Canis lupus familiaris: one gene and its partners. Each later gene encodes a partner of the first gene's protein in a complex. Links are inferred from orthologs where the notes say so. Each region holds a gene or a part of one and is shown in the gene's direction. Other genes may lie near its edges.

Region 1 (3,500 bases):
TTTAAGGCTTCAAAATCTGTATTTATTTTGCTATAAAATATTTATGTGTTGAGGAATATCTTGAACACCTAAGTATGATGCTTAATATTAAAACAACACTCCTTATTGTCTCAAATATAAAATAAAATAGCTATTGAATTGGATATGGTTTGATTATCTTCTAATTTCCTTACAACTTTGGTTTTGGTACTAACCAAAATATATAAACAAATCTTTGTTTTTAAGAAAATAATAAAATCAGAAATTAGGTCAGTCTTGAACAAGAATGTTTTTGTAATTCACATCATAAAGACTTAGTTTGGTGTACATTAATGTACTCTAAATCTATTCCATTTTTATTATCTTGCCCCTTTCTAAATTACATTGTACAAGAGCTAAATGAGGTACCGTATTCTCTCCTCTCACCATCGTACAAATTTTTTATTAAGTTTCATTATTTTTATTGTGCAATTTTAGCAAATCGTATTGATTGTACCTACTATTATGCTTACTTAGACTTAATTTTTTTAAATCAGTCATGTAATTTGTACCCCTTTTGCTTTTTCAGATTTATGGACAAGAAATTATCATGTAAGTTTCTCTGGTTTTTTGTTTTTTAATTAGTTGCTTTCTACATGTGTCTTGGCAGTATATAACGTTTGGAGCACCTTCATAAGAATTTAAATCATACAGAACCTCTAATTCACATCCATTAATCAGGTTTATCAAAAACTATATGCAATTTTATTTACCTAATTTCTGATATGTAACAGATTGCACACATACTGTAGACTTTTCATTATTTTCTATAAGCCTTCCCTCACGTAGACAAAATTAATGGGATTTTCCTATTTTGTGATATTCGAAAGTATATCACCCTTTTTTATCTTTTAAAGCACAGGACTTTGACCAAGGCTAAAAATCTGACCTGTACAGTACCTGAAATATATAGGGGTTAAGACCCAGGCTTCAGAGTAAGCATCCTTCCCTTTAAATCCAGCCCTAGCCCACAGTACCTGTATAACCTTGAACCAGTTTCTTAAGAAGCTCTATACTTCAGTTCCCTTGTGAAAAGTTAGAATAATTCTATTTGACAGGATTTTTGTAAGTTTATTTTAGTTTTTACCCCCTTTTTTTTTTCTGATTTTAATTCCAAAATAGTTAACATACAGTGTTGTATTAGTTTCAGGTTTACAATATAGCGATTCAGCAGGTCCATACAACAGCTGGTGCTCATCACAACACTGCACTCTTTATTCCCCATCCCCCCCACTTGGGTTTTTATGTTTAAATATGGAAGTAAATGTGAAATGTTTAGTCCACTGCTTGGCATATAGTAAGGATAGAAGCTTATATATCTCAAGTACCTGAGTTTTATTCCACCTGATTCTCAATAGTTGATACTTAATGCTCAGTTTTATTAAACTACTTTTTCCCTTTTTATAGTGAAATTAAATGGTGGCAGACATGTCCAAGGAATATTGCGAGGGTTCGATCCATTCATGAATCTTGTGATAGATGAATGTGTGGAGATGGCAACTAGCGGGCAACAGAACAATATTGGAATGGTGGTAAGTAAGGGTGGAAGGTTTCTCTTAGAGATTTCATATTTTGAAATAAGGATTAACTTCCCTTCTATTAAATTCTTGTCTTAAATTGAAATTAGATTGGGCAGCCCAGATGGCTCAGCAGTTTAGCGCCGCCTTCGGCCCAGGGGCATGATCCTGGAGACCCGGGATCAAGTCCCACGTCAGGCTCCCTGCATGGAGCCTGCTTCTCCCCGCTCCTGTATCTCTGCCTCTCTCTCTCTCTCTGTCTCTCATGAATAAATAAATAAAATCTTAAAAAAAAAAATGGGCAGATAAGCAGATAGATTTTCCATCTCCCTTTTACTTTAAAATATGGCAGCCGTTCAACTCTGGTAGCATCCCAGTTACCAGTAGGTTAGATCTGAATCCTATGCAGAATCCTCTGAAATAGCTGTACAAAGTATTTTTGAGCTTTATAATAGAGGTCCATAGTCAGTCCTTCATTATGCTCAATTTTAACATGCTTAGGAGTTCCCAGAAGATCTTACTAAAATGCAGATCCCATCTAACTATGTGGGATGCAAATCTGCTAGTCCACCTTTATACCTTTCGATTTTAGGTGTGTGTATAATTAACCCAGATTTTCTGGGTTTTCTGCAAATTTAAAAGTGGCCAAAGTAAAAAAATAAATAAATAAATAAAAATAAAAAAATAAAAGTGGCCAAAGTAAAAGTTTCAAGGGATGATCGCAGGGGTAGCCATTGATGTGAAAGAAAAAAGCAAATGCTGGGTTAATTATAGGAGCAAACATTTCTATATTCATTAGACCACGGTGGTATGACTACTGAGAAAGGTTTTGATGTTTATCAACAAGACGCAGGCTTTGAATCCCATTCTGACCACCAGAGGACAATATGCCCAGTAAGTTAGTAAATCCCAAGTTTCTTGGGAAACATAAATCAAAAAGGACAACTTGGCATTAGCAAATCACTGAGCATAAAGACCTCTAAAAGATGGTAAGAGTTCCTAATTCTTAGCCTTGATTTTTTTTTTTTACCTCACAATTTTTAATTACTCTTTCCAAAGTGTATGTTATTGCTTCTTTCAAACGCATTTTCATCTGAAAAGCAAATCAGTGATCTGGGCTGCAAAATCCAGTGATTCCAGTGATCTTGGAATCAATCCCTAGATATGAGATTCCCCTCCCCCAAGTTTTATGCAAATTGACCTTCCTTTCTCCTTGAGTTCCTTCTCCTTTCTCCTTGAGAAAATGAAAAAACTATAGGTAAATCAGTATCAGCCAGTTTGTTCTAAAGATGGTTTCTAAATACCCACCCCCAGTATTTCTCTCTAGCCTTTCCTATTACAAATTCAGTAATTTTCATTGTAAGAGAGGGTAGACTGGATTTTTAGTTTATATATCAACAGACTTTGCTAAAGATTGAAGAAGGACTTTGATAACCAAAAGTCAGTTCTAATTTGAGAAGATAACTTCAGAGAATTACGTGACACTTTTTGGAATTTTGTCTGAGAAGCAACTGATCCTAAATCATGGGTTTTTCTTGAAATTTCCCCCCTAAATTTTATTGGGCTTGTTCTTTACACAGAAATTGGTTATGGGCACCTTCTTACTACGTTAGGCGGTTGGCTCTTCCACCTCTGATGCTTGTTGTGTGACCAAAAAAATTTTGTGTTAGTAGGCAGTAGTCCTTGCAGCTGAGTTAACACTTTGAAAATGAAATAATGGGGGGCTGCCTAGGTGGCTCAGTCAGTTAAGCATTTGGCTCAGGTCATGATCTCAGGGTCAAGAGATCAAGCCCCACCTCAGCTGCCCAGCTGAGCAAGAACTCTTACTTCCGTCCCTCTGCCTGTCCACCTGCGCACTTGAGCTCACGCTCTCGCACACGCTCTCTCTCTCTCTCTAATAAATATTTAAAGAAAATGAAACTGGTAACGTATCAATTATCCTGAATAAAAAGACTTTTTGAGAGA
Region 2 (4,138 bases), on another chromosome or scaffold:
AGCGCCCGGCCTGGGAGCCAGGGGTTGAGCAGAGAGGGGTTGAGCCAAGGTCAACCTCCAAGGGGCATTAAGAGCCGAGGCAGAGAGAGGGAAACGGGAAGGGGACACAGAGACACTCAAGGACACAGAAGGAGAGGCGGAGACAGCAGGATTTAGAGAGGGAAAGAGAGTGAGAGGCAGAGGGGAGGGCAGAGAAAAGCCATGAGAACGGAGCAACACGCCGGGGAGACTGCGGAGAGAGAGCCCTGGCAGGAGAGGTTGGCCCAAGAGGAAACCGAGGAGAGACAAATGACGGCAAGAGAGACAAAGGCAGGCTGGGGGGGCTCTCCAGGGGATCCTTATGCCCCCCCATGCCACAGCCCCCAAGGGCACCTGTGATGGCGTGCTGGGAGAAGGCCTCCACGTAGACGAGGTAGTTGTGGGGACAGTGCTTCTTGAGCCACTTGCACACGTCCTGCTGACTCCACAGGACCACAGGCCGCGTCAGGCCGCCCAGGGAGGGACTCGTGTGGTACAGGCCATAGTGGTCAGAGTACATCCGGCCCTGCGGGGGAGACGGGTGCCGGGTGCGGTGAGGTGGTGGGAGGGCAGGGGCTGAGGGGGGACGGCGGGTGGGTACCTGGGGGGCCTCTGTGCCAGGCTGCTGCAGGAGCTTGACCGGCCGGCCACCAGCGGCCCTCTGGCTACGGGAGTCGTGCCATGTGAGGCTGGTGCCTGGCGTCCGAGGCAGGTGGCAGGGGATGCTCTCAGCGGACACCGTGTGCTCCAGGAGGGTTCGGCAGAAGCTGAAGTGTGCAGTGGCTGCGGGGCATGGGCGCCTGGTCAGGGCGGTCAGGGCCGGGGCCAGAGGATCGTCTCTCTGCAAACCAACTCCCTGCTCAACCCATCTTCCCTTGAACACGAGGCCCCTTTTCCCAATCGGGGGGCCCCAAGCCCCCAGGGACAGGAAGGAAGTGCGCAAGAACGGTCCTGCGTAGCCCGCCCAGCCCAAAGCTGATGGCCTGGGAGCATCCTTCCTCTTCTGGGCGCACTGGCCGTGCTCTGGGGAGCACGAGGGGTTCCGCATAGGTTCGAGAGACAGTGTGCCCACCGGGGAGCCTAAGGTTCACAGTCTGGTGAGGAGCTACCCTGAGACAGGCCTCGTCTCACCCTCGCTCTAGGCTGACGCACGCTGAGCCAGACCAGGGCACGCTGCGGCCCCTCTGTCCTGGGAGGCCCTGCGTCACGGCGTCCCCGAGAATGCTGCCTGCCATCGCCACTGACGGCACCCCAACTCTGCAGCCATACCTGGCGTTTGAGACGTGGCTCCTGCCGTGCGGTGCTCACCTGCCAACCCCTCGGCGGGAAGCCTGAATGAACTGCAGGCAAGCCACCCCGGGAACCCTGCTCTGCCACCTGTCGCAGGGCCCTTGGCCCAGGACAGCTCCCGTGGGTGGGCATCCAGCGGACATGGGCTGCTCAGCACAGGTGTGCAGGGGCCAGCCATGAGCTCGGGGAGCCACGGGGACACCTGGCGCTTTCTTTCCACAGACTTCATTACACTCCTCAAGTTTTAGTTTCGCTGTCCTTCCTGGGCTCGTTGCTCACATAGGTCACGGGAGGGCAGACACCCTAACAATGGCCTCCTGACCCTTGCACAGGTCTGGGCACACAGCAGGTGCCCAGGAACACTGTGGCTGGCTGGCTGGGTGGATGGAGAAAGGCTCTGTGTGGTGTCCACAGCCAGTAGAGCCCTGGGGAGAGACAGGAAGCTGGGCCCAGGCTCGCCTTCATCTTTACAGCACCTAGGCCCCAACTCGGCAGGCAGAAGCAGGTTCTCGGCCAGGGCCCTCGCCTCCCTGGCTCTCAGCCCTAGAATGAGAGACCCTGCCTTCCATGGACACAACCCAGTGCCCCCAGCTGAGGGCAGGGAGGGGTTGGCTGTGTGCCCAGGAGTTCTCAGCCATGGGGAAAACCCATCACTTCCCCCTTCTAGCCCTTCAGATTCCTCCGATTCAGCACGCCGTCTTCATACTTGCAACTTTTCGGAATTGGATGACCCCAGGTGACTCTAAATTTGAGGTCCAGGATCAAATAGAGGGTGTGCCTGGTGCGGTCCCTGCCTGGATGAGGTTTCTGATATCACGGAAAAAGACTTATTCTAAGCTGGCATCTTTCAGGGCACAGGTTCCAGAGCCACTCGGCCTCGCCTTGCAGGGCCTGGCGGAGTGGGCTGGCCGGGTCAGGGGCAGAGGCAGAGGCAGGGGCAGGGGCAGGAGCAGGGGCAGCGGCAGGTTCAGGGGCAGGAGCAGAGGCAGGAGCAGGGGCAGGGGCAGGGGGCAGGGGGCAGGAGCAGGAGGCAGGGGGCAGGAGCAGGGACAGGGGGCAGGAGCAGGAACAGGGGCAGGAACAGGGGAAGGAGGCAGGGGCAGGAACAGGGGCAGGAGCAGGAGCAGGGGCAGGAACAGGGGCAGGGGCAGGAGCAGAGGCAGAGGCAGGAGCAGAGGCAGGGGCGGGGGCAGGAGCAGAGGCAGGGGCAGGAGCAGAGGCAGGAGCAGGGGGAGGGGAGGAGCAGGGGCAGGAGCAGGAACAAGGGCAGAGGCAGGGGCAGGAACAGGGGCAGGGGCAGGAGCGTGAAGCTCTGGCCGAGGTGGGCGTCGCCGCGGCGCTGCACCTGTCGGGGTCCAGCGGGCCCCGCCCATTTGCTGCCCAGGCTAGGGGAACGATCTGCGTCTTTCTGTCTGTCCGCCCGTCGTTCCGTCCCTCCCTCTTAGCCCCAACGTCAGAATTCCACCATGAAACGGGGCCGGGGGCGTCCAAGCCCAGCTGTGGCCTCGGCTCCTGTCGGCCCCACGGCGGAGCAGGGGAGGGAAGGGCGCGCAAAGGGAAAGGTGACCGCGGGGTGGGCCAGCGGGGGGCAGGAGCCCCAGCCGTAACCTCCTCCAAGCCAAGGGTGCGCTGATGCCCCGGCCCGAGGCCACCCCCCATCAGGACAAAGGCACCAGGGACCCCGATCGGCCAGGATGCGGCCCCCCTCGGCTCAAGCCGCCGCCCGCCCGCGCCGTGGTCAGCCCTGCTCACCGTCCACATCCCGGCGCTCCCCGAAGCCGGCGCGCACAGCCCCGGCGCGGCCTCGCGGGGGGCTCAGCTTGGTCCTCAGCTCCGTGAACATGGGGCCCAGGGATCCGGGCCGCGCACACGCCCCTCGCCGGGCGCCAGGCGGCCGTGTGGCCGGCGGGGAACGCGCGCCGCCTGCCCGCCCCGCCCGCCCCGCCCGCCCCGCGCCCGAGCCGGTCCCCGCGCCCGCCGGGCGAGTCTGCGCGGCGAGGCACCTGCTCCCGAGCCCGAGCCCGGGGCCGGGCGCGCTCGGGAGCTCCGCGGTCTAGCGGCGGCGCGCAGCTCTGCTCTGCAAAGGGAGCCTGCGGGGGTCCGGGCGACCTTGCAACCTGGCGGTGGCTTCCAGGACGAGCGCCTGCACCTCCCGGGGGGCCCACCCCCCGGGGGCCTCTGAGGCGGGGAAAGGAGGAAGCCAAGGTCCCGGCGGGAGGGCGCGGGCCGGAGGCGGACATCCTCCCTGGTCCTGGGATGGTCGGTCCACCGAGGCCCAGGTGGAGGGCCAGACCGACCCCTCCATTTCTCACTCCTTTATCCTCGCCTTCTCCAGAGATCTCTCCCTCAAGGGGCACTTGCTCCCCTAGGAGCCTCCCTTAACCCACCGCAGGGGACTCCAGGAAGACAGCCGGGCAGCACCTGTCCCCTTCCCTACGCAGCCCCAGGATCTGGCCCGGGGCTCAGGGGGTGCCGCTGAAGGCGGTTTCGCGGGGCATGGGGAGGACAGAGCCGCTCCAAGGAGGCCGCTGCAGGGAAGAGGGATGCGTCTGTTCCAGGCCTCCCTGGGAAGTGCTAGGGTGGGCTGGGGGCCGCCGGGGTCAGAAGGCCAGACTTGCTACCCACCAAGTTGAGCCTGCACCGCCAGGGGTCTGGGCGCTCTCCCCAGGCGTATGCGGGTGCCAGAGGACGCCCACGGCACCACGAGCAAAGGCGCACTCGGAGATAGAGTCGTCGTGCATGTCCACCTAAAACATGGGCCCAGGTGATGACTGGTACCCAAGCCCAGCACCACGCCCAAGGAGAGATTTGCATGGAATTCACCCCCGAG
Region 3 (3,986 bases), on another chromosome or scaffold:
TCTCCCAATTGTTTACTTACAGTTCATAAGCACAAATTCCTTTAGGTCTTAACCCAGGAACTGTCCTCACTTTATCTTCAAATGAGAAAGTTACATTCTGGTTTTGAAATCAATTACTTGCAAGCTAAAGGCAGTGCTTTAAAAAAAAAAAAAGCTTTAAAAATAAACATAATCTTAGGAAATAAAAGTCAATTATATTTACTCAGAGCTTCTTTAGAAAGAATCAGATATAACCTTCATTGTTCCTTGGAATGTCGCCCAGCACAAGTTACTTAATCCATTTCTGACATGTTTCCTCACCTGTAAAATGGAGATAATAGTACCTACCTCACAAGATTGGCCCTAAGATTAATCATGGTAACTTTTGGGTATTGGCATTAGCTTTATCCTTTCACTACTCATTTAAACAAAGAGATCTCTCAAGAAAAAGGAGGAGGAGGAGGAAGAAGAGGAAGAAGAGGAAGAAGAAGAAGAAGAAGAAGAAGAAGAAGAAGAAGAAGAAGAAGAAGAAGAAGAAGAAGAAAGCGATGTCTACTCAACGACTAATATTCATTTCCAGCAAATACAAAGGGATCTTTCAAGTAGCCAAGCGCAAGAAATTTCTCTGGAAAATTAATATTTCATTCATTTGGCATCAGATAAATCTGGGTTGGAAATGGCTCTTCTACCCTCTGTCTCACTGTGGGAGTGAAAGTCACAGTTGTAGTACTTAACCCTTCTTTATATCGATTTGCTCCCCTACAGAACCAGGATAATACCACTTACTTCAAAGAGTTGGTGTAAAAACTAAACGAGGAAACATACGTGATATGTCTACCAGGGGTTTAAGAGCTCAACTAAATGAAGTGGATTTCTTGTAGACAATTAAAAATATAGAGAGAGAGAGCTCAATAAATGGTAATTACAATAACACTGTTCATTAATTCAAAAGATATCCAAGGATCCCTTACTACTGCAGATGCATAAAGCTTAATAATCCTCAGTGTTTACCCTGGCCTTAGGAGAGAGAACAGAGGGAAACACGCAGAAACACTTCAGGACCACTTCTGCAAGGAACTAAACTTCACCGTCTCCTTACACCACCCGAGCCTTAAGTCTGGGACAACCGGCCGGCTTCCTCAAGCGCAATTACACTGCCTAAGCTCCGCCCCCTTAGACTCCGCACTTAAGGTCTGCGCCTGCGCCGTGACCTGCACTTGGCGCATGCGCCAAAGGGGGACTGGCGGGATTAAAAACCATGGCGTGGATGCCAGCAGAATCCGCAGTGGAAGAGTTGATGCCCAGGCTGTTGCCAGTGGAACCGTGCGACTTGACAGAGAGTTTTGATCCCTCCGTCCCACCGAGGACGCCTCAGGAATACCTGAGGCGGGTCCAGTGAGTGATTTGGCCCCGTGCGGGTGGGCTGGTCGTCCGCTCTGCCCCCGGGCACAGCTCGACCCCTACCTACGTGTGATAAAGCCCCGCCTCAGTGGCCGTTCCCTCTTTCACGCGAGGTAGGGTCGAATCAAGATCACTTGATGACATCTTTACCTGGGCGAGTTTTTATGAATGTAATTCTGTTTACCTGTGTCAAGATGTGTGCTTTTGGATTTCCTTGCTTTCCAGTTAGTTTCGGAAATAACCTTGTGTAGTACGTGCATTGCGCTTCCTTTTTTTTTTTTTTTTTTTCTGATTTCGTGAAGAACTGTAGAATGGATCGCTCGTTTTACTGCACAGGAACAAAGCACAGCCGTAATCACATTTCTTGCATTTATTACTTATTTGTAGGATCGAAGCAGCTCAATGTCCAGATGTTGTGGTAGCTCAGATTGACCCAAAGAAGTTGAAAAGGAAGCAAAGTGTGAATGTTTCTGTGAGTTTTATGACCCAGCAGGGGATTCTCCCCTTCCTCCCCCTCTCCCCTCGACCAAATGGAAAGCTCAGTGGCCTTCCTGTGGTATCCTGTAGTATCTTTATGATTTATGTAAGATTGGACTACTTCCTGAGACATTGAACATTAGCTTGGACTTTTAACCCTCAAAAGGACAGTTGGCATTTACTGCCCCCAGAGCAGTTTCCAGTAACCCTGGCATTCGTGGAGACTCCTCATACTTCAGGGCTGTGATCCAATTCTAAAGGACTCTAAATAGGTTACTTACGTTATTCTTTATTTTTAAGGAACCTTTTTCCAGTCTTGTTCATAATTATTCTTGGATTGGTGTTTAATGCTATTTAGTGCAATATTGCATGTTCTGAATTTGGGCTTTGTTTTTTTAAGAATAGAAACTCAGGTGTCTTACATTTTTCTAGTTACTTGCACACACACCTTGAATATTTTTTGTGAAGTGACTAGGTTGTGCCAGGCCCTGGGATTACAATAGAAAATGAGGCACAAAAATCCCTACCCTGGCAGAGTTTACATTCTCCTGAGGAATACAGAGTAAACAAGCAAACAAAGTAATTATATATTATGACTTTTTTTTTTTTGAGATTTTATTCATTTATTCATGAGAGACACAGAGAAGAGAGGTAGAGACGCAGGCAGAGGGAGAAGCTGGCTCCTTACAGGGAGCCAGATGTAGGACTCGATCCCAGGACCCCAGGATCAAGACCTGAATGAAAGGCAGACACTCAACCACTGAGCCACCTAGGCACATCTATATTGACTTGATATGAAGAAAATTAACCTGTATATGACCAATAAGTAACAAGGTTACTTGTTTACAATTGTACTGTTGACAATTAAAATTGTCACAGAAAGTCTCTCTAAGGACATATTATTTAACCTAGGGTCAAAGGAGAGCAGCAGTTTTTAAATTGTGATAGGTCCTTTTCCTCTTATGAAATTTTAATTCAGATGCTATAATGTTTCACATATTTTCAGAAATTTTTAGTTGATGGATGAGAATATCTTATCTACCTAGCTTTTAAAAAACACACTATTATTTCAAGGCAATATGTATTTCAAGGCAGTATTTTGACCTATTGTGCTGTCTTAGGAAGCTGAAGTAGCCTTTGTAAAGTCAAATGTCTTAGATTATTTGAGTACATTCTGCCAATACCAAATTCTTTATGTGGGTTATGTCTCCTCATTTCAAATAATTGTCTTCTTATAGAAAGGTAGGACTAAATTATGTCTTCAGGGCTCATATAATTTAGATTTCTTAGTTTAGAAACTCCAAATATGAACCATTCCAGATTGCTCTTATTGAAGTGACCCCACAAGGATCTTTTCCTAATGTTCAAACTTGGACATAAATAGTAAAGTGAAAGGCCTACTTTTTGGCATCTGCAGAGTACAGTATCTTTCTTAGATAGCCTTAATCATTTACTTTATTACTCTTCATCTTGGTTGTGCTTTTACTTTGCAGAGGAATGACGTTCTAGTTATAACACTAACATCGATTCTAATATTTATGAACTGATCTCTAGCTTTCAGGATGCCAACCTGCTCCTGAAGGATATTCTCCCACACTTCAGTGGCAACAACAACAAGTGGCACAGTTTTCATCTGTTCGACAGGTGAGCGTACTTTAATCATTTTATCAAATTAAACCCCTTCCATTAGAAAGACAGTTCTAATTTTACTCATATGGAATATAAGAAACAGTGCAGAGGATCATAGGGGAAGGGAGGGAAAACTGATTGGGAAGTAATCAGAAAGGGAAACAAGCCATGAGAGATTCTTAACTATAGGAAACAAACGGAGGGTTGCTGAAGGGGAGGGGGAGGATGAGGTAATAGGGTGGTGGGCTTTAAACAGGGCCTATGATGTGATGAGCACTGGGTATTGTATGCAGCTAATGAATTCCTGAACTCTACATCTGAAACTAATGATGTAATATATGTTGACTAATTGAATTTTAAATAAAAATTAAACCCCTCTCTCCCTCAAGAATTATTTCTGTTCTTAGACTGTAGTTGGAAAAATAAGATTCATTATACTTTTTTTTAGATTTATTTATTTGAGAGAGCGAAAGTGCATGCAAGCAGGCAGGCATATGAGT
Region 4 (3,984 bases), on another chromosome or scaffold:
GGCCTCTTTCTGCCGTTCAGTCATTTTCCTCCCATTTGCCGCAGGGCCCCTGCACATGTTGTTCTATATGGAACGCTCTGCCTTTCTCCCTTGACCCAAATAATTACAATTCTTCCTTCAGGTATCAGTTCGGGCATCTTTTCCTCACAGAGGCTTTTCTGCTTATTGCAGACACTCATAACATCAGGCACCTCTCCTAGGCAGCACGTATTTTAAAGCTCTTAGTGAGATCACTGTTTAACATGCTTGCCCTCAATATTCAAATATTTGAATTGTTTGTTTGTTTTTAATTTATTTATTCATGAGAGACGGGGGGGGGGGTGCAGAGACACAAGCAGAGGAAGAAGCAGGCTCCATGGAGGGGGCCCGACGTGGGACCATCTTTGGTTCACAATGTATCCTCTCAGGGCTCTTTCCAATAAACACCAGTTGGACAATTAAGGAGACCTAGTTCCCAGATATGATTCCGAATTTCTCCACAGGACTGTGCTCTGGAGAAGCAGCAGTCGGATACTCCTCTCATCCCTGTCTCTCCCAGAGGCACTGAGCAGGCCCTCGTAAAAGGCTGCATGACCAGTGGCAGAAACAAGCCGGCCTCCTCAGTCAGAGAGAGGAGCCTGGTGGAGCTGGGAGACAGGCCCTTCCTCCCTGGGGGCGTTCGGCACAGGCACAGGGCTGGACACGGCAGGCGCTGGACGAACGAGTCGGCGGACGAGGGCCCCGGGCGGCCGCAGAGACCCCAAAGCCCTGCTCCAGCCTAGAAGGGGAACCCAGGCTGCTACGCGCCGACGCTGGGACCCCGGGGCCCGCCTCAGGCCCCTGCAAACCTTCAGCTGAGAAGAGCCAGGCTCACGTCACACAACCGAGGCGCCGTCTCTAGATGCCGCAGCCACCCACCCTCGACCTTCCTTCCACTTACTCTGGGTCAGCTCCCGGTCTCCCGGCCGCAGCATTGCGCGAAACGCCAAAACCAGACAACGCTTCCACCCACAAGACCCAGCGCGCCTAGGTGGGACTCCAGCTCCACCCACCAATCCCAGCACCGCACTCCCGTGACGCCAGAAAGAACTGACCAATAAAAGAAGAGTATTCAGGGAGGCGGTGCAGAGGGGATTGCTGCAGACCGATTGGTTACTCCAAGCCGGAAGTTCTGGGGGAAGAACTAAGTCGGAACCAATCGCGCGCTGCCTGAGGGTGTCGGCGCGGTCAGTGGCGGCGCTGAGGAGAGCGGTTGCCGCCATGATAGAACAGCAAAAGCGCAAAGGCCCGGAGTTGCCACTGGTCCCAGTCAAGCGGCAGCGGCATGAGCTGCTGTTGGGAGCGGCGGGGTCGGGCCCCGGAGCTGGGCAGCAGCAGACGGCGCCGGGAGCTTTGCTACAAGCGGTAAGTGGAGTCGCGGGCGGCCCTCGGGCCTCAGCTCATCTTCCCCTCAGGGAGCCCGCCCCCGGTGATCCCGCAGTGCGGGGTAGGAACGGGAATAGCTGCCTGCAGTTCACACAGGAAACACTGTAAAAGCGGTCGACACCCCCCCTGCCCCCCCGGGACGCTCCGCTCGTTACCTGGTTGGACGCCCGCTTTCAGCGTCTCGACCACCCTGGGAGGTGGCGTTACATTTAGCGTTAAGGACCTTGAAGTCAAAACCCGCACCGGGGCTTTTTCGTATTAAATCTTCCACAGGGACCCAGCGTGGAGTAAACATTCAGAAAACTTTGTAGAACGGCTGAAAAAAATGAATGAATGAATGAATGAATGAATGAGGAGAGAAAGGAAACGAATGAGCCCGGCTTGCTTTGGTCAAGATGCCCGCCCCCCCCCCCCCCCCCCCCATGTCTCAGCACTAGTACTGTTACTAACAACAACGGAACGAGAGCTGACCTTCATTTAATACCTGTCCTAAGGGCTTTGTGTATGAAAACCCCATTAATCTTGGTAACAGCTTAAGAGTTAGGAACTCTCAGTGCCCTGTTTTGTAAGCTCTTAACCCGGTAAGTGATAGGAAACGGTTTTAAAGCCGAATCCATGCTCTTAACTGCATTTCTTGTAAGATGGAGGTAATAACGATCACCCCTCTGCTGGGCTGGTAGGCTCCGATCAAGAAGTAAACGTCTCCACTCTCAACCTCTCCACCAGCCGGTGAGCAAATCCTGCTGGCACACCGTCCTCAAAATAGATGCCAAATTGCTAATCCTTGTGCCACCTCCATCACTCGCCCCTGGTCTAAGCCGTTATTTTTCTCATCTGGCATTATTGTAGTGAGGTCCTAACTGGTATTTCCTGTTTCTATTCTTTTATGGTCCATCTATTCTCAGTCCAGTGGCTAGAGAATCCTGCTAAAGGTCAGCTCGTGTTACCCTCTGCTGAAAACTTTTGATGGCTTTCCATTTCACCCAGGGTTAAATCCTTACAATCCTTAAAATCTTTTGCCCATTTTCCCTTTACCTCTCAGATCTACCAATTTTCCATTACTCCCCCTGCTCCAGTCACACTGGCTTCCATGCTCTTGCCTCAAAGCCTTTGCATTTGCTGCACTCAACTGGAATGCTCTTCAAAATATCCACGTGGTTTACACACTCAGATCCTCCAAATCTTTGTTCAGATATCACTTTTTCAGTAAGGGCCTTCCTGACTACCCTGTTTTAAATTGCAATACCCCATATGTATTAATCCACATCGCTTTTTTTCTTCCGTAGCACATACCAACCTGCTATATGTTTTGTTTTCTCTCTTCGTCTCTTCTCTTCCTCCTTTCCACGGGAACACAAACTCCATTGTTTATTTTGTTCAGTACTGTTTTCCCAACGCCTAAAACAGTGCCTGGCACGTTAATTTTTTTTTTTTTTTAAATAAATGAGTAAACTGAAAGCTATTAAGGATGTTTGGGGATTATCAATAGTGTACCAGGTCTTCTCTCTGACCGGAATGTCAGCCCAGGTTCCAGTGAATTGTCCAAGCCTAGGTTTAGTGTCAAGACCATAGTCAAAACTACTTTCCTGGGTAATATGTACCTTGCAGGGTTGTTGGGAAGCTCAGTTCAGGCATTAATTAAATGTGCTAGAGACTGGGAAAAGTGTTGAATGCAGGGTCCCTGCAGTCACAAAGCTGCTTTTCTACCGGGGAAGAGGACAAAATGTGTAAACCAATACAAAGGAAGGTGATTTCAGGTAGTCTTAAGTGCTGTGAGGAAATACAGTAGGATTAATGGAATACAGAGGGGAGGTGTGATGCTGCTTTGAGTTTGAGTGATCAATGAAAGACTTTCTGAAGAGGAAACATTTGGAAAGAGCTAAACACAGGACGATCAAGGGAAGAGGATTCCGATCAGGAGCAAGAAGTGTAAAGATCCTGAGACAGAAATGAGCTTAGCATATTTGAGCAATTTAAAGTTGGCTATGGGACAGAAGGAGCCTGAGGGAGTAGTCAGTATAACTGGTAGACACTGGACACTTGAGTAGGAGGGTATCAAATTGGAGGCCTAAGTTAATGTGAGAAGAGTTACCATTCTCTAAATCAGGAGAAATCTACTCAATGATTGTTTACCGTGTCTTTTGTAGTCTCCTTTGCCTGTATGTAGTAACTACCCTGTACTTCTGTCTTTTGTTTAGGGACCTCCAAGGTGTTCCTCCCTTCAAGCGCCAATCATGCTTCTCTCAGGACATGAAGGGGAAGTGTACTGCTGCAAGTTTCATCCCAATGGATCCACCTTAGCATCTGCAGGCTTTGATCGACTGATATGTAAGAGATAGTTTTTGAAGTTGGGATAATCACTCTCTGCTAAATAGTGATTATTTTTTAAAACCTTTAGTGCCACAGAGTGTATCAGTCTGGATTATTCGCATTACAAACTGCATAGCTAAAACAGTGTAAGGAGAATGTTGAATGATCTTGAATATAGACCTCAAGATCCATGTGGTAAATACAGAGGAGATTATGTTACTAGTTGAAAAGTGAGTTGCTCTTCTTTGAGAATATCTTCCTCATGGAGGC
Region 5 (4,274 bases), on another chromosome or scaffold:
TAAATACATAAATCTTTGGGGAAAAAAAAAAAAAACCCAACAACTTAGATCTAGAGTGGTTAGAGCACTGGTCTCACAAAGAACCTTAGAAACCAACTCTCCACTGTTTGCTGTAAATGTTTAATCACTTGCAATTAAAAAGTTTCCATGTGGTTAATATTACGAGCTTTGGAGTCAGATCTGTTTGAATTCCCACTCTAATGCTCATTGGTTATTTGACCTTGGTCAAATTGGTTAACCAATCTAAGTCTGTTTCTTCATCTGTAAACAAACGTATGCTTGACGGGGATGGGAGAACCAAATGGGCCAATGTATGTAAAACCTCTAGAATAGAGACTGGCATAAATAGAAGCAGCTCCTCTCCACCCGGATAGTGGCACAGGGTCTGTCCCAACCAGACAAGGCAACACTGAGATGGGAGAACAAAAAGATAAAGGTGGGTCAGACCACAACACAATTAGGAAATTTCAGGGGAAGTTGCCTAGCCGGGTCATTACATTCTAATGAGGAATAATCTCTTCTGAGTGGTTGTCTGCATCCCTACCATGGAAGACTCACCGTCACCCCGTATTTCAGTGCGAGTCCAGCCAGGGTGTCTCCGGGGGCCAGCTGATGCTCCAGGCGTCTTTCCCTCACCGGGGAGCAGGCTGACTGCACCAGGCTTCCGTAAGAACGAGCCCGGCTCCCCTGTAGCAGTCCTGACCCCCCGAGGGGGGCCTGTCTAGAGGACGAAGCCATCTCCTCACCCCGCCGGCAGCTGGGGTTGCAAGTGAGGGAGGCCTGGCTAAGTGCCGACAGCCACGGGGCTGGGGGCGAGGGACGTCTATCCAGGGGGTTCCTTTCCCCCGTCTCCTCTCACAAACCCCCGTCTGCCCCGGCACTTCGCGCCCCCGCGGCTCTCGTTTGTCCCGCTTCCCAGGCGCCTTCCCACGAATCTGTATCCCGAGGATCCAGTCCCTACCAGAGTCTCTCCTTATTAGCACCCCGCTGACTTTCAACCCTCCCACCACTATGAACTCTGACCTTTGAACCGTAGTTACCCTCCACACTCCGCTCAGCTCGCCCCTCTCCCCCAGGTCAGGCAGCCTCCGCCTCCCAGGTTCCCTTCACACCCCGGCCCCGCCTCGTCCCGGGTTGGTCGGCTTGTGTCAGGAATAAATCCAGCCCCCTCCTGGTGGGCTGTCGGCGGCCAGGGAGGCGCGTGAGGACCGCGAGAGTTTGTACTACACGTTCCACTCAGAGATCTTCCAAGGCCCGCTCCTCAGCAAATCCGTCACGGCCTCAACGTCGGTCTCCACATTTAAGTTCTTGTCTCCCCAGACGCCTCGAATCAGCCAAGATGCAAGGGCCGGGAGCCAGCTGGGTGGCAAGCCCTTTGAAAAAAAGACTTCATTTCCCAAAACGCCCCGCGCCTGCGGGGTCGCCGGGTCGCGTGGGCAGTGCGGTCGGCTCCGCAGGCTGTGGGCGGGCTTTCCGCGAGCGCTGTGCATCTAGGGAAGTAAGGAGGCCAACCGGAAAGAAACCCGACGGGAGAAGACGCCTTACTCTCGCTACGGTGGCCTGAGAGGAGTGGCCGAGGCGGCTCGGGAGAATTGTTCGCTTCTGGAGCTCAGTCGTAATGTCTTTCAAGAGGGAAGGGGATGATTCGAGTCAACTCAATGTGCTCAAAGTAAGCGCGAGAGGGGAGCATCGGGAACAGTTTCACTGCCCCGTGAAGGAGCTGTTTTGTTGCTCTGGCAACAGCTGCGGGGCCGGCGCGACCAGAGCTGGGTAGTGACCCCTTCTTCGCCCAGTGATCTCTGTTCTCATGGTCCTTTTTGCCTTTCAATCTTTGACCCCTCCCTCCTCTCCCACTGGTCCCGTCCGGCTACCCCCTGCAGAAACGGAGAGTCGGGGACCTGCTGGCCAGTTATATCCCAGAGGATGAAGCGCTCATGCTACGGGATGGACGGTGAGGGCGAGGGGTGATCAAGCCCGAGGGTGCTGCGGTTATAGGCTTCGTATAATTTTGTTATCAAGGGGGGAGCGGGAGTATCTAGGATTTTCTGATGGGGGATGAGGGACAGGGATGTGGGTGGTGGAAATTGGGAGACCCTAGAGTTTGGTTTTGGAAAGGGTTGCTAGGTCCAGGTGGAACCAGACCCCACTCACCTGGCACCGAATATCTTCTACCCTCCTCTCCAGCTTCGCTTGTGCTATCTGTCCCCACCGACCTGTACTGGACACCCTGGCCATGCTGACTGCCCACCGTGCAGGCAAGAAACATCTGTCCAGTAAGTGAGGGAAGACAAATCTCTGCAGATCACTCTTGCGGTTTTGTTTTTAATTCTCTTCCCCTCTACCTTCAGGCCTGCAGCTTTTCTATGGCAAGAAGCAGCCAGTAAAGGGAATGGAGCAGAATCCAAGACAGCAGAATGAATTGAGGCAGTCAGAGATCAAGGCTGAGGTAGGTAATCAGGGAGGGGAGGGTGTGTTTTGGGTGGGCCTGCTGCACATCTTAGGCTTGAAGGGCTTCGACTTCTTTCTAGCTCTGAAGACACTGACTGTGTTTCCCATCTCCACACCAGGCTCCTCTGTTAACGCAGACCCGACTTACCACCCAGAGTGCTCTGCACAGAGCTCCTCACTATAACAGTTGCTGCCGCAGGAAGCACAGGTCTGTGGGGTGGGAAAGCCAGAGGTAGGGCGGGTCAGAGGAGATAGATGGCTCTAAGATAAAGGTATTACAAATTGTATTCTCAGGAATATTAATACTCCAGAGATGTTTACTGATATTTCAGAAAAAAAAGAGAATGTTGCTTTTTTTTTTTTTTTTTAAGTTTAGGAAACGGCACTTTGGTTTTTGTTCTAAAGATTTTACTGATTTATTCATGAGAGACAGAGAGAGGCAGAGACATAGGCAGAGGGAGAAGCAGGCTCCCTGTGGAGAGCCCAATGCAGGATTCAATCCCAGGACCCCGGGATCATGACCTGAGCCGAAGGCAGACACTCAACCACTGAGTCACCCAGGTGCCCCAGGAAATGGCACTTTGTGATCCTACTTGAAGAGTAGTAATATTAATATATTCGAAGGGCTCTACAAAGTCTAAAGATTAAAAAAAAAAAACCCTCAAAATGTTATACTAGCCTTTTAAAAATTCATATGATTCCAAAATTCTTTTTTTTATGCAAGACATTTACTAATATCTTGAGGAACACAGTTTAGGAAACACTTCTGTAAGGGATTGGGAGTCATAGGAGAATTGGCCTTTTTCCTTTACTACTTTTATAGACGTTGATTCTTCTCTACCTAGACCAGAAACCCCTCGTCCCTCTGTCTCCCATCCCCCTTTACCACCCCCAGAGGTTGAGCCTGAGAGTGGGAAGATCACTAAGGAACCCATGCCTGGAGCTGGCCCACAGGCCAAGGAGTCAGCAACTGTCTCATCCCCTGTGCCCATGAGCCCCACGAGGAAACGAGCCCTGGATCATTACCTCACCCTTCGAAGGTTTGTATGCAGAATCACTTTCTTCAAGTTTTCTCTTTTCTTTCTGAGTTTTCTTATTTCAATCCTTCTCAATTGTTTTTCTCTTATCCCCATTAACTTCTTAAACCTCTTTTCCTGATTTATTCTATTTTCTGTTATTTGCAGCTCTGGATGGATCCCAGATGGACAAGGTCGATGGGTAAAAGATGAGAATGTTGAGTTTGACTCTGATGAAGAGGAACCTCCTGACCTTTCCTTAGACTGATACCCTCTTTTCCCCCTCAGTTCACAAATAAATTTCAGCAGGCTCCAGGAGTCTAACTTTCTTCAAGTCTACTTCCTTGCCCCATTTCAGGATTTCACTGGTGGATTTTTTTTTTTTTTTTTAAGTAGGCTACACACCCAATGTGGAGCCCAATGTAGAGCTTGAACTCATGACCCTGAGATCAAGACCTGAGCTGAGATCAAGAGTCAAACTCTGATTAACCAACCAAGCCACCCATTTCAGGTGTCCCCCATTTCAGGACAGCCAGGCCCATTCTTCCCTGAAATGTACACAGCTCCCCATACTTCTGACCCCTCCCCCACCTTCAACCAAAGTACTGCCAAGCGTCAGCTGCATGCAGCCCAATGCCCTATTAATAAGTCTGTCAGAAGGAGGTCTTTGCCCTTCATGTTGTCTGCCTTCTTTTTTTTTTTTTTTTTTTTTTTTGTTGTCTGCCTTCTTCCCCACCTTCACTCAAAGTTCTTTCCTCCTTCAGATCACATGAAGTTGTAGTTAGACACCAGGGGCCCTACCCGTATCTG
Region 6 (4,213 bases), on another chromosome or scaffold:
ATGAGTCTGGGTTTATACAATTCTTTCCTGGATGATTAACATGTTAACAGGCCCCAACTAGACAGTTATTATATTGCCATAGATATATTAGAATCTTGTTTACATTTCTATAATTTCATCACCTTTAAAAATAGTATTCTTTTGTATAGTTATCACTATCTATGAGGAAGTTAAAATATGATGTAGGTTCCCAAGTACATATTGCACCATTATAGAATTTCTTTATGAGGCCCACCACCAGTGGCTACTGCTGCAGAAACTCAGTAGGCCAAACTCACTCAAATTCAAACACGATTGTATTTTCAAGTAGAAACATGACCTTAATGTTTTTGATTAATTAAGAATCAATGTACATCCAATGAGATTAGCAATTCACATTGATATACTTTTGATAGGATTTTATTTATTTATTCATGAGAGACACAGAGAGAGAGGCAGAGAAACAGGCAGAGGGAGAAGCAGGCTCCATCCCTGCAGGGAGCCCGATGATCAGGGACCCCAGGGTCACATCCTGGGTCCTGGGCCGAAGCAGATGCTCCCCCACTGAGCCCCCCAGGTGTCCCTCAATAAGACTTCTTCCCTCTCCAAGCCCATGCGGTATGCTGAGATCAGTGGAATTGATTAGCTTAAGGAACAAGCAGGGCCAGTGAAATATTTGCCTATCGGATTTACAAATGTTCAACTCCTGTTTGCATAGAAAAGTAATGGGACAGGCTTGATCGAAAACTGCATTTTACCTAAGACAAGACAATATAAAATACTGCTATTTTGGCACTAGGATGTGTATAAATAAAAGTGGCTCGAGTCTTCAGTTGTGTCTTTCTTCCGCCAGCTTTGAAAAGCTGCCCTTTGATACTGTCGACGCCACCACGTTCATTAGCAGACTGGCTGAAAATCGTGCGGTTTTGAGAGATTTAAAAAAAAAAAAATCTATGCAGCGTAAAAATAAATGTGGGGATTTGCCGTACAGGGCTACAACAAAGATCTTTGCACACTTTCTCAAATGCAAAGTGTTCCGCAACATCCGGCCGCCAAGGGTTAACGGGACAGCATCAGCGCAGGTGCTCTCGGCAGCCGAGGCCGCAGCGCGCGGAGGCTTCCAGGCCGGGCAGCCCCGCGGCGCAGCGGGAGCCGAGACGTCAATCAGGGGAGCTGGACGCGGACCGGGATTCGCTCTCTCCAGACCCTCCCTAGAACGGACTCCTTGGGTTCGCTGGGAAAAAAAATAAAATTAAAGGATTAAGCTTGGGGAGGCACAGCGCAAACAACCACACCCCTGAACCGAACTACTTAAGTCCGAGCCGAAGGCTCTTCCAAGACCTCCTCCGGGACGCCGCTGAGCCCCGCCCACCTCGCCGAGGCCACGCCCCTCTGGAGAAAGCCCCGCCCCTCGATCCCAGAAGGCCGCCGGGCGGCTACCGCGCCTGCGCGGAGGCCCCACTTCCGGCGCCAGGGCGCTCGATTCCGGAAGGGCTGCGCGGCGGCGGCGGCGGCGGCGGCTTCTGTGTTGCGGGCTGGTGTCCCTTGTCTGTTGGAGCGGCGAGTCGCACGGCAGCATCATGGTCGAGGTAAGGTGGCGCTTGGTGCTGAGGGGTCGTTGGCTTCCGCGGTGTTTTTCCTTGGCGGCGGGCGTGGGGGGGTGTTCGCGGTTTGGGGATGGTGAAGGCTGCGGAGGGGGGCTGTCTGGCCGAGGCCGGGTGGTCTCTGAAGGTTTTCAGGGGCAGAGGAAGGCCGGGTGGGAGCCCTGGCTGGACGTTACCCGCGGCCGCGAAGCCCGACTGAGTTTCCACGGTCCGTATTTGGCTCTTGAGCGTCGGGTCTCGGCCGGGCCCCCGGAGGCGCCGCGTCCGGCCCCGCGGGGTCCCCGCCTGCAGAGCAGCGTCAGGGGCTGTGTGTCCTGAGGCGGGCGGTCTTCCTCCAGCTCTGCCCCCAGGAAGACCTGCCATTTTGAAGTTTTGCATCAAACTGTTAGCCAGCCTTGCCCGTCTCATCTCAGAAATACTTCTGGAGCCTTGTCCAGACCCACTGCCTTCGCCTTAATTCAGATCCGGCGTCATCCTTCGTCTGCACGAGTGCCTTAGCTCCCTGCTGGTGTTCTCGCTTCCATTTCTTCGCCCTCTGCAAAATTGATCTGTTTAAGATATACGTTGATCGCGTTTTTTTCTGCTTAAAATCCTTCGCTGGCCAGATGTCACTAGAGCAAAAGTGCAGACTGTTGCAGTGATCCTTTAAAAAAAAAGAATCCTTAACCTAATCTGCACCTTGTCTACCCTTGCAACCTCATCCCAGCCTCACAGTCCACCTTCCAGTGGAACATGCACAGTTCTCTTGCAGCTCCGGCCATCATTGCAGCCACCAAACCCCTGTGTACCTGGCATTTCCTCTCTGCCTGGATTGTTCTCACCTCTGCTCTGCACGAGGCTGAATTTCTGCCTAAGGAATACCTCAGAGAGATCTTTCATAACTATCCTAGGTTCTTTCTTGGCTTGCTTCCTTCATAGCACTTATCAAAGATTTGTTGCTTATTTTTCGTTTTCTCTTGAGCACTGGGACCATGGCTGCCTTGTCATCATTCTTTTGTTAGCTTCTAGCACAGTGCCTGCCAGACACATAGTAGGAACTCAGTAAATACTTGTTCGAATCAATGGCTAAGCTCAGGCATCACTAATTGGTATACCTGGGGCTCTGGCCATTGAGGAGCTTCCTCCTCCTCTCTGACCTTGACTTCTTCTATCGCTTGCTACAAATAGCTGTGGTGAGTGGTACAAAGCTTTTTACATATTTAAATGTGTAAAGTGTATGGCTGCTTTGACTTAATTTAGGTTGTGGTATGTGTCATTTGTAGCTAGATATGTGATTCTGTTCTTTCTTTTTAGGAGGTACAGAAACATTCTGTGCACACACTTGTGTTCAGGTCATTGAAGAGAACCCATGACATGTTTGTAGCTGATAACGGAAAACCTGTGCCTTTGGATGAAGAGAGGTAGGTATTGTTCCTTTTCAGTTACTGGAATATGTAACTTCTAATGTTGGGGGAAGAGAGCAGGGAGAGGGGGACCTTTAAAGCTTAGTGAGTGATACTAACACTCGTAGGATGTCTATTCGGTAATGAATGGTGTTTGGGCATGATTTAAGCTGATTTAACTTTTTTTGGCCTTGTCTTTCACAATAAAAAGTCCCATTAATTAATTGCATTTATAAATACCCAGTAATTAGGAGAGTCCCTTTTAGGTGTTTTATTTTATAATCAATCACTTTGTATGTGCTTTCAGCTTCCCGCTGCTCTCAGAGCCTTGCTGAGCTGAAATTGTACCTGGCCAGTACCTCTACTCCCATCTTTTCTCGTTAGTATGATGAAGATTTTTGAGTGGTGGCATATTTTTGGTTCTACATCTCCAGCTCCAGTCTGGGATTGCATTATGTGCAGTGTTCCTTCTTTGTCCTTTACCCTTCTTTTAAAATCTACTTAATTCCTAAGACAAGCATTTATATTTAATTTATTAAGTGAGCTGTTCTTAAGACTAATATAAGTGCATTTCTTTAAAAAATATTGAACTAATTAACTACTTTGATTAGTTCTAATTGGTCTTTTTAGATACATCCAGTAAAGGTTATGATAGAAGCTTTTACTGTGTTTTTATATTGACACATTTGAAGGAAAGTGTATTGACTGAGGTTTTTAAAAGGATATATTAGTTTCTATATGTTTTTAAATCAGACCCTTGGTAATTTATCATGAAAGGTTATATATTTATTGGTTAACAAATTAAAATGCTACTTAGACTTAATGGATGCTCTGTGGTGGATTGGGAACAAAAAAAGTGTGGAAATGCACTTGGAAATTCCAAGCTTTTTAAAATACTATTTAACTTTAAAAACTTCATAGAATTTTTTCTACATGATTAGGCAAACCTAAGCTATTTAAGTACTTGTGTTCTTGGCTGTCTATATTTCTTTTGGCTAATATATTTAAAGCACTCAAAGATACATTCTTATGTTCATAATTTTTAAATAGTCACAAACGGAAAATGGCAATCAAGCTGCGTAATGAGTATGGTCCTGTGTTGCACATGCCTACTTCGAAAGAAAATTTTAAAGAGAAATGTCCTCAGAATGCATCGGATTCGTATGGTCATAAGCAGTATCCTGCCAATCAAGGTGAGGATGTATTATCAGAAATGTCAGGACTTACATGTGAATTTTCAAAATGAAA
Region 7 (4,003 bases), on another chromosome or scaffold:
GGTGTCAGGAAAATGAGACCACTTTACTTGAATTTCCCAGCTCTCACTCAACACACACACACACACACACACACACACACACACAGAGGCAATGAGCCTGCCAGTGAGAGGACAGGGCTAGAATGGGAAGAGGATCTCAGAGCTAGTGGCAGAGATGGGAAGAGAAACTGAATTGATGGGTCAGGATAGAGAGAGATGGAAGCTACACAAGCAGGGAACATCTGCTCATCCCTCCCTCAGGTGCACAGGCGGTTGCTGGTGCTGCTGGTGCTGTTGGGGCAAGGAAGGCAGCGTCGACTCTGCCAGTAGGCTGGTGGGGATAAGGGGAGAAAAAGTCCTGAGCTCATTTTTGGGACTAAAAAAGATGCATCCTGTCGCCCGAAAGATCGTTTCGTTTGTTTTCCCCATTAATCATTACTGAGCGCCTCTTGAACGCCAGGTGCTGCCGGACAGTAAAAAGACCAGGTCCCCTGTGCACGTTCTTGGGGAGGTGGGGCAAAGGGGCAAGAAAGAGTTTAAAACAAATGGTAGATGTTTGTACGTGTTACGGGAACTCCAAGGAAGGAAAGGAAAGCGGGAGAAAGGCTAGCGGAGACATCTGAGCCGGCCTGATAGGTGGAAAAAGGGGCTTTAGTGTGGCCCTTCCCCCCAGGTCGGCAGCTGGAGCTCAGCCCGCTCCCCTCCTGGCTCCGATCCTCTTTCAGCCCATTCATCCATGCGTGGGCCGGGGGTGGGCGGGCAGACAATCAGATACTGTTTTATCACAGGCATCGGCTGCAACCTCCCGCTTGGCGCCCACAACGCGCGGCCGCTGGCAGAATGAGTCCTTCAGGCCTCCCTGAGGAACGAAAGCGTCCGGGCCTCTCACGCCTGAGCTGAAAGTCTGGTCGGAAGGCTGGAGATCTGCGCTCCGGCGAGGCAGACGCAGAAAGGACGCCTTTCTGGCGGGACCATCTTGCCCCGCAGCCCCGCCCCTGCTCCAGCCTCCAGTGTTGCCGGTGCTTCAGCCCGGCACTGTGCTCCGGGAGCCGGACCCGCAGAGAACGGGACCTGCGTACTACAACTCCCAGAAGGCTTCGCGGCCTGGCATCCTGGGGACGCTTGGAGATCCGCAGGGTCTGGGCCGCAATGTGAACCGCCTGCCAATCCTCCAGCGGACGTGGCGTACGGCGCTGCCGGAAGTTCCGGCAAGTGGGCCCCAGGTCCGGTCCGGACTTCCGCGTTGGTCGCGCGCCTTCCTGCGGCTAAGATGGCGGCCGAGCATCCCGAGCCTCCCAAAGGAGAGTTGCAGCTGCCGCCGCCGCCACCTCCCGGTCACTATGGCGCTTGGGCTGCCCAGGAGCTTCAGGCCAAATTGGCGGAGATTGGAGCTCCGATCCAGGGTGAGGAGCTCGGGAGGTCAAGGGCCGGGGCAGCGTAGGCCCAGGGAGAAGCGGAGCCTGGTTACCCCGGAGACCCGGGGGGCGGAGGGAGGGGCGGAGGCGGACCGCTGGGGCCTGGCTTGGTCCCGCAGGCCTGCTCGGCCTGACTTACCCCGTTGATCTTGTGCTTTGCCCATCAGGGAGTCGCGAGGAGCTGGTGGAGCGGCTGCAGACCTACACGCGCCAGGTAAGTGTTGGCGGGACGTCAGGATAGGCCGAGTTTCTGAAGGCCTCAATGAGCCCTCAGGACTCGGTCTTAGCTTTTTATGTACCTTGCTGTTTCTGCTTGTTTTTTTACATTACCTGACCAGTTGTAAACATTTCTGTATATATAGGTCTTCTGCAGTGCCTAGCGCAAGCTCTGGCAAATGGGCAGTTGGTAAATTTTGTTGAATGAATGGGAGCAATGACGTTTTGTGGAACAGCTCCTCTTGGACTGACCTGGAGTCCTTTCTCTTTTGCAGACAGGCATCGTGCTGAATCGCCCAGTTCTGAGAGGTGAAGATGGGGACAAAGCTGCTCCCCCTCCCATGTCCGCACAGGTAAGGAGGTGGTTCTACTTTATAAGATGACTTCTGTTCAGGGCAGCTCCTCTCACAGTCAGTGTTTTGGGGATGCCACTAACAGATTGGACAGGGAGAAATGGGAGCTCTTCAGTTCCCCTTTAGTCCTGATCCTTACCTCCTTACCCAGTGTCTGCTTCTCCAAATACTACCTGTCATTTAAGGTTTAGCTTAAGTAATTTAGAAGCCTGACTTGATTCTCCTTCAGCTGGAAATAGCTCTTTTTTGCCTTACCAGGCACAGTTCTCATTTTGTTCAGTGAGACATTATGGCTCACTCTCTTATTTTATTTCATACCTTTTATATTTAGTGAGCCATTGGGACACACTGGCTCCAGTTTATTTAAGTCTTCTTAACTTCCATTTCCTTTCTGAGCCAGGATTTGAATTTTTCTCTAGGACAAGACTCTGATCTGGGATCTATTGACTTCTGTGGGTGGGAGGAGGAGTTCCCAGGTGGCCATTAGAGGTGTCCTTGGATTTCCTGAAATTGTATGCACAATCTGTGTTCATGGTTTTCTGGGGAGAGAGTCAATAGCTTTCCTTGGTTGGTACCCCAAAGTTAGTATTCTCTTCTATCGGTATTATATTTTTTTGAATGCAGGAATTGTCACTTGACTTTGAATTTTAGTACCTGGCTCATAGTACCTGCAAATGTCTGCAGTAGATAAACGGTTCCTAGTGTATGTTGACTTTTTTTCCACAGCTTTCTGGGATTCCCATGCCACCACCACCCATGGGACTCCCCCCTCTGCAACCACCTCCACCACCCCCACCACCTCCACCAGGCCTTGGCCTTGGCTTTCCTATGGCAGTTGGTCCCCGCCCACCAAACTTGGGGCCACCTCCTCCTCTCCGCGTGGGTGAGCCTGTGGCTCTGTCAGAGGAGGAGCGGCTGAAGCTGGCGCAGCAACAGGCAGCATTGCTGATGCAGCAAGAGGAGCGTGCCAAACAGGTAGGGGAGGTGGCAGGTTGGGCATAGGTCTCATCAGGGTCCTAAAGAGGATTGAAGCCTTAGAGAAAGCTGGATCCTGGGGCCAAGCCTTCTGGGAAGTCTGGACCAACGACTGGAACATAGACCCCAGGCTGAAAGAGGACCCCCAGAAGCAGTGTTGTGGCAGCCTGGCCTGAGGGGTAGTGGTGCTGATGTGAGTTTGTTTTCTTTTTTAAGCAGGGAGATCATTCACTGAAGGAACATGAGCTTTTGGAGCAGCAGAAGCGGGTAATTCCCTCCATTGGCTGTCACTTCTAGTACTAGTGTCCAAAACAAGATGCTCCATTCAAGTTTTCCATGGAGGTTACCTCATCCTTAAGTTCCAGTATCTCCCAGATAATCCCATCTTTTCTGGAGCCCAGATTGGTAAACTACAGACTGTGACCTGATTTTGTATGGCCTGCAAGTTAAGAATGGTGTTTCTAACTTTGGAGGATTGTTAGGAAAAAAAAAATTGGCAAACCAAGAACATACTGCAACCCTTGCAATGGCCCATAAAGTCTAAGATATCTGTTGTTTAGCCCATTACTGAAAAAGTCTGATAATTCGTATTAGTCTTATATGATTTTAGATACCTATGAGAGGACTCTGGATTAGTCAATTGTGTGGGATTTAGACTAAATGTGATAGAGGTAGTTAGAGAATAATACATGAGACATGCAGTCCCAGAGGTGCACTCTATCAGTTGTTCCCTGCTGCATTACTGGAGATATTGAAAGTAAGCATTAACAGGAATAGATATGAAATTATGAAGTGCTGATTTTGCCTAGAATGTGTTAGATCTTTTTTTTTTTTAATTTTTTTTTTTTTAATTTAGTTATGATAGTCACACACAGAGAGAGAGGCAGAGACACAGGCAGAGGGAGAAGCAGGCTCCATGCACTGGGAGCCCGACATGGGATTCGATCCTGGGTCTCCAGGATCGCGCCCTGGGCCAAAGGCAGGTGCCAAACCGCTGCGCCACCCAGGGATCCCTAGAATGTGTTAGATCTTAAGGAGCAGATAAAAGAATTCATTGTTCCTTAG

What was found.
Region 2: SNRPG (region 1) and PRPF6 share a complex: the UniProt entries of both Homo sapiens proteins name them as parts of the U4/U6-U5 tri-snRNP complex. The link is inferred for Canis lupus familiaris from reciprocal best matches to the Homo sapiens genes SNRPG and PRPF6.
Region 3: SNRPG (region 1) and GEMIN2 share a complex: the UniProt entries of both Homo sapiens proteins name them as parts of the SMN-Sm complex. The link is inferred for Canis lupus familiaris from reciprocal best matches to the Homo sapiens genes SNRPG and GEMIN2.
Region 4: SNRPG (region 1) and SNRNP40 share a complex: the UniProt entries of both Homo sapiens proteins name them as parts of the U4/U6-U5 tri-snRNP complex. The link is inferred for Canis lupus familiaris from reciprocal best matches to the Homo sapiens genes SNRPG and SNRNP40.
Region 5: SNRPG (region 1) and SCNM1 share a complex: the UniProt entries of both Homo sapiens proteins name them as parts of the minor spliceosome. The link is inferred for Canis lupus familiaris from reciprocal best matches to the Homo sapiens genes SNRPG and SCNM1.
Region 6: SNRPG (region 1) and PLRG1 share a complex: the UniProt entries of both Homo sapiens proteins name them as parts of the minor spliceosome. The link is inferred for Canis lupus familiaris from reciprocal best matches to the Homo sapiens genes SNRPG and PLRG1.
Region 7: SNRPG (region 1) and SF3B2 share a complex: the UniProt entries of both Homo sapiens proteins name them as parts of the minor spliceosome. The link is inferred for Canis lupus familiaris from reciprocal best matches to the Homo sapiens genes SNRPG and SF3B2.

What each region holds. Positions count from the first base shown.
Region 1 is NC_049231.1:70,131,345-70,134,844, reverse strand, and holds part of SNRPG (small nuclear ribonucleoprotein G), read left to right. Parts: intron 1-547; coding exon 548-570; intron 571-1,425; coding exon 1,426-1,550; intron 1,551-3,500. UniProt on the Homo sapiens protein: Plays a role in pre-mRNA splicing as a core component of the spliceosomal U1, U2, U4 and U5 small nuclear ribonucleoproteins (snRNPs), the building blocks of the spliceosome.
Region 2 is NC_049245.1:48,284,676-48,288,813, forward strand, and holds the start of PRPF6 (pre-mRNA-processing factor 6), read left to right. Parts: upstream 1-1,338; 5' UTR 1,339-1,353; coding exon 1,354-1,364; exon of another isoform or gene 1,365-1,975; coding exon 1,976-2,044; exon of another isoform or gene 2,045-2,252; intron 2,253-3,060; coding exon of another isoform or gene 3,061-3,151; exon of another isoform or gene 3,152-3,219; intron 3,220-4,138. Other genes in the region: SAMD10 (sterile alpha motif domain-containing protein 10), read right to left, coding at 1-10, 373-544, 620-1,066. UniProt on the Homo sapiens protein: Involved in pre-mRNA splicing as component of the U4/U6-U5 tri-snRNP complex, one of the building blocks of the spliceosome.
Region 3 is NC_049229.1:17,472,816-17,476,801, forward strand, and holds the start of GEMIN2 (gem-associated protein 2), read left to right. Parts: upstream 1-1,186; 5' UTR 1,187-1,237; coding exon 1,238-1,374; intron 1,375-1,767; coding exon 1,768-1,852; intron 1,853-3,411; coding exon 3,412-3,501; intron 3,502-3,986. UniProt on the Homo sapiens protein: The SMN complex catalyzes the assembly of small nuclear ribonucleoproteins (snRNPs), the building blocks of the spliceosome, and thereby plays an important role in the splicing of cellular pre-mRNAs.
Region 4 is NC_049223.1:69,116,397-69,120,380, forward strand, and holds the start of SNRNP40 (U5 small nuclear ribonucleoprotein 40 kDa protein), read left to right. Parts: upstream 1-1,184; 5' UTR 1,185-1,239; coding exon 1,240-1,383; intron 1,384-1,559; exon of another isoform or gene 1,560-1,698; intron 1,699-3,602; coding exon 3,603-3,732; intron 3,733-3,984. UniProt on the Homo sapiens protein: Required for pre-mRNA splicing as component of the activated spliceosome. Component of the U5 small nuclear ribonucleoprotein (snRNP) complex and the U4/U6-U5 tri-snRNP complex, building blocks of the spliceosome.
Region 5 is NC_049238.1:60,887,477-60,891,750, forward strand, and holds SCNM1 (sodium channel modifier 1), read left to right. Parts: upstream 1-1,474; 5' UTR 1,475-1,618; coding exon 1,619-1,669; intron 1,670-1,880; coding exon 1,881-1,951; intron 1,952-2,184; coding exon 2,185-2,273; intron 2,274-2,348; coding exon 2,349-2,446; intron 2,447-2,567; coding exon 2,568-2,656; intron 2,657-3,293; coding exon 3,294-3,488; coding exon of another isoform or gene 3,489-3,632; coding exon 3,633-3,732; 3' UTR 3,733-3,793; downstream 3,794-4,274. Other genes in the region: LYSMD1 (lysM and putative peptidoglycan-binding domain-containing protein 1), read right to left, coding at 559-738; TMOD4 (tropomodulin-4), read right to left, coding at 3,471-3,634. UniProt on the Homo sapiens protein: As a component of the minor spliceosome, involved in the splicing of U12-type introns in pre-mRNAs. Plays a role in the regulation of primary cilia length and Hedgehog signaling.
Region 6 is NC_049236.1:52,571,453-52,575,665, reverse strand, and holds the start of PLRG1 (pleiotropic regulator 1), read left to right. Parts: upstream 1-1,413; 5' UTR 1,414-1,559; coding exon 1,560-1,568; intron 1,569-2,876; coding exon 2,877-2,983; intron 2,984-3,272; exon of another isoform or gene 3,273-3,344; intron 3,345-4,015; coding exon 4,016-4,158; intron 4,159-4,213. UniProt on the Homo sapiens protein: Involved in pre-mRNA splicing as component of the spliceosome. Component of the PRP19-CDC5L complex that forms an integral part of the spliceosome and is required for activating pre-mRNA splicing.
Region 7 is NC_049239.1:51,712,201-51,716,203, reverse strand, and holds the start of SF3B2 (splicing factor 3B subunit 2), read left to right. Parts: upstream 1-1,203; 5' UTR 1,204-1,249; coding exon 1,250-1,382; intron 1,383-1,561; coding exon 1,562-1,608; intron 1,609-1,885; coding exon 1,886-1,963; intron 1,964-2,689; coding exon 2,690-2,938; intron 2,939-3,154; coding exon 3,155-3,205; intron 3,206-4,003. UniProt on the Homo sapiens protein: Component of the 17S U2 SnRNP complex of the spliceosome, a large ribonucleoprotein complex that removes introns from transcribed pre-mRNAs.